Oryctolagus cuniculus: one gene and its partner. The protein of the gene in region 1 purifies or fractionates together with the protein of each later gene. This does not show direct contact. Links are inferred from orthologs where the notes say so. Each region holds a gene or a part of one and is shown on either strand. Other genes may lie near its edges.

Region 1 (2,757 bases):
TTAAGAAAACCCAACACTGCCAAAGCGATCCATCTGGAAACAGCCAGCAGCTACACGATGCCTTCAAGCTGAAGCCTGAGCTTCCTAACACGACCCAAGTCCCCGTCCATCATCGTGGCGCTGACCAGTAGCCCCTGTACAATCCTGGTGTCTCCCGCTTCAAATGGACTTCTGGCAGGTTGGGCCCAGCTTCTCCTGTTCCCCTGTACCTGGCTAAGCCCCAGGTAGTGGTCCCAGCCTCCCTGAGCCAAGATCCTAAGACAGGGCTTCCCATCAACTACAACTCCACAGCTCTGTGCAGCGGGCACCCGCTCCTCGGGCGGACCACGGAGGCCGGCCACTGCCCATCCACTTGATGCTCTCCTCACACCCATTTTTGCGGAGTTAAATGTGCAGCAGGATGCACTCACAATCCTGACATCCTCCAAGATAAGATCCTCTCCTTCTGCCCGAGAGGAAGCACTATCCCAGGAACACAGCCTGCCTCTAAGATGCGGAGGCCGGCACGGCCTGGAGCTCTGCGCCAGCCCCTCGGGGGGCCAGCAGGCAGGAATCACACAAGACAAGAGTCCTCGGAGCACTTGTTAATCCGTTATGATTTATTAGCTGTACAGCAGTAGATCCTCCTCCCCAGCTTTCAACCCCATTACATATTTTATTACAGGTCTCGTGTTGGCATCCTAAAATAATGAAAAATATCACACAGTACAGCTAAGTACAAAATGCATCAACCTAGAGTCTGATAGCTAACTGATGGCTCTCTTAAAAAGCAATACACAGAAGAAAAAAAGTGTTTGAAATCAGCAAGACTGAGGCTCTCTAAAAAACACATTTTCAACGTGTGACAGTTCATGTGCAACAATCATTTTTTAGTTGGTTTTGTTTCACATTATTATTTGTTTTTGAAGATCCAAAGTTTAAATTACTGACCTAGTGAAAATTTCTGGCCCAGCATGTCAGGACTGCTGTGACCCACTCATAGTCACCCTCTGGCTCTGACAGGGGATTCGTAAAACGCAACATTCTGCTAAACATAGCAAAGAAAATGTCAATGGGAAATCATAACTGAAGGTTAATTGTACAAAGTTCAAATGCTGGCTCCATGGGCTGGAAATCATGATCTTCCATGTGGAGGCTCGTCACTAGCGGGCGGCAGGCTGGGTGCCGATCTGCTACATGATTGTGATCCAATTCCTTTAATAATTCCACACTACCAAGTCTGTGGCAACTTAATTTGCAAGTAATTAAAATGCTGGGTTTTCTCACACTGCACTTCTTTTCAACCTCTTAATTAATGGAAAAGATTAAAATGTAAAAAAAGTTATTTACAAGCTTGACCATACCAGAAACTCTGCCAAGAAAGAGGCAAAGCGTTCAGGACAGTAACCGATCGTAGCATGCCGTACTACTGGTGTGCAGCTGACTCGAGCAAGGAGTCAGAGAAAAAGCAAAAGCAAAAAACAGGTTAAAAGTCTAAGGCCTCCCCAAGTCTGCATTTACAATTAAAAACTCTCTTGGGAAGAAGACCAGAGAACTCTGGGAAACCCGGCAGCCATTCTGGAGTGGTTTACCGTATTGAGAGAGAGGGGCCAATGTCTCTGTTTCCGTCTCAGAAACCAGTCAGGCGTCAACACTGCCCTCAGCACTTCACAGTAAACCCGCAGGGACTCAGACATTCCATGATTTGTTAACATCAAACAGCAAGTTCTAGTTAAATCACATTTTTCTAACATCATCCTTGAAGTTTTCGTTCTCAGTTTGTTTGGTAAAATGGTGTAAAAATGATGCTTTTCCCAAAGCCAAAAGAAGAAAAAAGGGAAAAAAATTAAGATGTGGGCCGTTTAAACACAGCCCAGAGCAGTCCCGGCGCCCAGCAAGGCCCCACCATCACCGGTCCATCATGCTGAGGATCATCTCAGGCGTGAGGTCGCCGTTGGGGGCATCTGTGGCAGCTGGCTGGGCCTCCTCCTCCTCACCCTCCGTGGGTTCGGCGTCTGGCTCTTTTTTTACCTCCACTATAATGTTCTCAATTGCACCTGTATTCTGGTCTTCAACTTGGATGATGGCTGTTGCTGGCAAAGAGGAGCACAAAACAAAACAAAACAAAAGGTACATTAAAGCCCCCAGGAGTACAAGACCCTGTTACACAGTGCAGTCCACGGGATAGCAACATACAGGGAGCCTTAGTAGTGACACGGAGAAAGTCAATAAAGCAGAGACTTAGAGAGACCCAGAACATGGACACACAGAGTCCCAGTTCTCTGAAAACCATCAGAGCACAAAAGGCTGACATTCACGTTCACACGCCTCCCAAGTTACACGTAAAAATCCTTAGTTTTAAGTCAGAAATTGATACTATGAGATGCAGGCAAGAAATGAGACAGCATGTGACTAAGGCTACTTGAAGAGTGTGTGACGTAGGTGACACACCTACGACAAGCGGACATTTCTGATTCTGTAGTTCTCCCACACCCAGGCCCTCCCACCTGTCTGCTCACTCCAGTGTGTGCAGAAGAAACCGGAGAGCTGCTTCTAAGATCTGCACTTAACCTCCTTTTCTCTGACAGAACTCTATTCTTGGAGCTCAGGGAGAACATTCAAAAAATAATTAAGGGGCTGGTGCTGTGGCGCAGTAGGTTAACGCCCTGGCCTGAAGCACTGGCATCCCATATAGGCACCAGTTCGAGACCAAGCAGCTCCACTTCTGATCCAGCTCTCTGCTATGGCCTGGGAAAGCAGTAGAAGATGGCCCAAGTG
Region 2 (4,246 bases), on another chromosome or scaffold:
TAGCTGTTAGCTTTAGGGAGAATTCACATAAAAACCCATGGAAGGCCCGCGCTGCGGCTCACTAGGCTAATCCTCCGCCTTGTGGTGCCGGCACACCGGGTTCTAGTCCCGGTCGCCCCTCTTCCAGGCCAGCTCTCTGCTGTCACCAGGGAGTGCAGTGGAGGATGGCCCAAGTGCTTGGGCCCTGCACCCCATGGGAGACCAGGATAAGTACCTGGCCCCTGCTATCAGATCAGCGTGGTGCGCCGGCCGCAGCACGCCGGCCATTGAAGGGTGAACCAATGGCAAAGGAAGACCTTTCTCTCTGTCTCTCTCTCTCACTGTCCACTCTGTCAAAAAACAAAACCATGGAAAGCATCTGCTGGATGGGAATTAGACCAATTTTCCATGTTGGCTTAGATGCAATAACCACCCCTGGTCGACTTCAGAGCCGCAGGGTCTCTCCCTGTATATAAATGGTCCCCTACCTACTTCACAGGGCTGTAATGCACCCTTAATGTTTCACTCTGATACACAAAAACGAACAGCGCTAAGGCTCCAATTCACCTAATAATGATCTTATTTTTAAATTTTAGGATCTATAAATTGCTAAGGCTGTTCATCTGCCAGGTTTCCCATAGTTTTTGGAAAAAGATACATTAAATATACAAACAGAGCAACTGTTAAAGACACTTTGGTTTCAGAAACATTTTAAGTAGTATTTGAATTTTCAAAACAAATACAGAATTTGCTTTACAAGATTCCCAGCACATCTAAAATCAGGGACTGTTTCCCTGCGACTGTCTGTAAACAAGCAGTCACACCTGCTAATAACTGTGCTCACTTCCTTCTGTTTCAAGCGTTCTCAGAACACCCACCTTGCTGGGGTGAATGCCCACATGGACAGTTGTGCCATTGGCCTTTTCTCGCTGCACCCGCTCAATGTAGATGACGTATTTCTTCCTGTAAACCTGGACTACTTTGCCAATTTGCTGACCCTTGTAGTGTCCTCGCACAACCTGAAATTCAAAAATAGCAGGAATAAGCAGATAAAAACAAGATCATCATTACAAGGGAAATAGTGAATTAAATCTCTAAGAGCTTTCAATTTTGAACGACTTAATGACATTAAGATTCTAGCTCCCTGGTTTTAGCTAAACCATGCCCCCAGGTGTCTACAGAGAGGGACAGTGCATCCCTACAGCTGACAGCTACCAGCAGGGGGAGGCTTATTTAAAGGATGAAAAGAAGCCACCACTTTGGGTTTCTGTAGGAAGTTAACAAGGACCTTGTTATTTTGTCTCAAAAGCAGAACTGGCCTCAAGTCTAATTCACAACCTAGTTAAGTGCCCACTTCAATGCCAGGCAAGAGTGGACTCCAACAAACACACAAGTGAACAAACCAATTCTTTCGCAAAGGTGAGCAGTTTGCTATCCAGGAGTCCTAGCCATCACTCGGCTTGTTAGAACCAACCCAAAGTGCTTCTGAACACGTTTCCTTCCAGTTCCTGACCTCCTTATATTGCTACATCCTGAAAACAAAACACTCAATTGCTTCCAAGGTCTACTGGAGATGTGAGTAGCTGTGACAAATCTTTAATGGAACTATGGTGTTCCATTAAAGAGATTCTGAGTCTAGATTCTTAGCAACTTTTCGGGCCCTCAAATGCCTTTACAATGATCCAACATACTGAGAAAAGGCTAATTCCCAAGGAACCTTCTGCTGGTGCGTTTGGATAATTTGCCTCTTTTATTATGACTGGAGCTGATGCTTGAGAAAACGGATTTTCACCCAATAAAAAGGGAACTGAAAAGCAACGTGTTTTTGGCTCGACTCATCCTGAAATCCGCCCGGACAGCAGGAATACATACTTGCACTTCATCATCCTTTCGGATAGGCATGGATCGCACGTTGTACTTCTGTCTCAGCTCTTTGGAAAGGGGAGAAGACATAATCTTCCGGCGAATGTGGGAAGGGGCATTGAAATGCCTTTTCCGGTTCTTGCTCCGATCAGAAGTCACAAAGGGATTGAACTTCATTTTGGCTGTGTGAAGAATTAAGAACCTCCAATGACTAAAACCTCACACGCTTCCCAAACAGCAGCAACAACTTCCCCCTAAAAACTCAGACCACAGACATCAGTTACACCAGAGAGCTGAACGGCCGGTCGACTAAAGGCTCAATAGAAACAACGCTCCACTGGGGTATTTTCTATATGTCCCTGGGGGAGAGAGAGCGCCCCATTAACACAGCTGCTTTAATCACTAAACTTTCTGTCTACATCCCCCCAAACTCTTTATATTAGATGACCGACAACTCCATTTTTCAACTGTAACATCAGGTTTTGGAAGGACCAAAGTTCACCTTCGAGAGACTTGAGTGTGAACACCTGGCGCCCCCCAAATCACCCTGCCCCCACCTGGAAATCCTGCACAGATCGCAGGTCCCAAAGACCCTCCTAGAGGCGAGCGCGGCCTGCGGTTGTGCGTGGACTTCACTGCCAACAGTTATCTAGGAAACTTCAATTCCTAGACTTCCTCCGCTCCTGCTCCGCTTTCCGAGTCCCCAAATCCCCTGTCCCCCTCCCCTTCGCCTTCTGTGGTCCCTGAGCTAAGCATCAAACAGAAGCCACCCCAAACCCCCTCCCTGGCTGCTGTGCGGCTGGTGGGAGAGTCTCGGGGCCCCCGAATCCGAGAGCCAACGCGCCCACGAACGGATGAGCGTGGATTGCAATCGCCTCCCAGGGAAACCCTCACCAGCTGCCGCTCCGGCGATGGCCACCAAAGGGAAAAGGTTTACACGATACTTCCGGTTCTGTAAGTTTCCGAGCGATCTCGCGAGATTGATGTCTCGGCGAGAGAGGGGCGCGGAGTCGAAAGAAAACTGGGAGAAGTGGATGTCTAGTGTCACCTAGCGGCTCGGAGGGAAACTGCAAGGGACTGTGAAACCCTCCTCCAGGTCTCCCTTCCAAGGCCGGGTTGCTGTTGACTTCCGGGGCGAGTGACGAAGGAGCGGGCGGCCCCAGGGGACCCCGTCCCTGCACTCCTGGTTGCACGGCGGCTGGCGCCCTCTTAGCCTGGCAAGGACAGGCCTTACCTCTGGCCACCAGGTGACGCTGGGACCCCGGCCGACCGGTCACCTGGGCTCCCTGGTCCCCGCCCAGGCCAATGACGTGGGTGTGTAAACGTGCAGGTCCTTTAGTTAGCTCCAGCCGGGCGCCCCGCCGCCCCCACGCCCAAGGCTGGAGCCCCTGATCGCCCCCAGCCCACTTCGTAGAAGCGGGTCTGAAGCAGCGTTGCTGTCCCACTCCTGGGTGATGCCGAGAGTGGCGGCGCTGACTTGGGAGGAGCCGGACGGCCCCTGTCCGGACGTTCTGCCCCTCGTGGTTCAGCTCCGGATCTGTGGGAGGCGGGGAAGGGGTGCGCCCCCGCGCACAGGGACGCTGCGGTGGGCTGCAGTAGGGCGAGCCGGCGGCGTCGCGGCTAGGGCGTGGTTTCTCTGGAATGAATGGTGTCCTAATGACAGAAGACACACGTTTCGTAATAGGGCACCGAGACGCAATGAGCTAGCCGAGTGCTAGGGACACCCTTCTGTGTGTTTTACATCATCCACTCCTAGGATTCCCAAAATAGCCCTATTGATGCTGCTATTATTGTCCTCATGTTACACCTGGAGCTGCTGAGTCACCGAGAGGTGTGACACTTGTGCAAGGTCGCAGGGCGCCTGTGCAGGGTGGCTCCCCAGCCCCTTCCGGCAACTCCCTCTATGGCCCCACATCGTAGGAGCCCACTGGGTTAAGTCAAAGAAACAGTATCCTTGAGGGCCCAGAGTCCTGTCTGTGGAGAATAGGAATTTTGATGATTTACAAACATTTGGTGGGGCTGTTACTGTGGCGTAGTGGGTTAAGCCACTGTCTCCAGCGCTGGCATCCCATATGGGTGCTGGTTCATGTCCCGGCAGCTCCACTTCCGATCCAGCTCCCTGCTAACATGCTTGGGAAAGCAGTGGAAGATGGCCCAAGTGCTTGGACTCCTGCACCGATGTGGGAGACCCCGAAGAAGCTCTTGGTTCCTGGCTCCTGGCTTCAGCCTAGCCCAGCCCCAGCTGTTGCAGCCATTTGGGGAGTGAACCAGCAGATGGAAGAAGCTCCTGGCTTCGGATCAGCCCCTCACCAGCCATTGCAGCACCTGGGGAGTGAACCAACTGATGGAAGATCTCTCTCTGTGTCTCACTCCCTCTGTAACACTACCTTTCAGGTAAATAAGT

What was found. The genes of interacting proteins can lie anywhere in the genome.
Region 2: the proteins of CTCF (region 1) and RPL26 purify together in Homo sapiens (affinity purification with mass spectrometry; 3 studies listed by BioGRID and IntAct, with this or other methods). This does not show direct contact. The link is inferred for Oryctolagus cuniculus from reciprocal best matches to the Homo sapiens genes CTCF and RPL26.

The regions. Positions count from the first base shown.
Region 1 is NC_091449.1:50,881,955-50,884,711, reverse strand, and holds the end of CTCF (transcriptional repressor CTCF), read right to left. Parts: intron 2,073-2,757; coding exon 1,888-2,072; 3' UTR 578-1,887; downstream 1-577.
Region 2 is NC_091448.1:52,826,503-52,830,748, forward strand, and holds the start of RPL26 (large ribosomal subunit protein uL24), read right to left. Parts: upstream 2,870-4,246; 5' UTR 2,737-2,869; exon of another isoform or gene 2,400-2,736; intron 2,025-2,399; 5' UTR 2,020-2,024; coding exon 1,852-2,019; intron 999-1,851; coding exon 858-998; intron 1-857.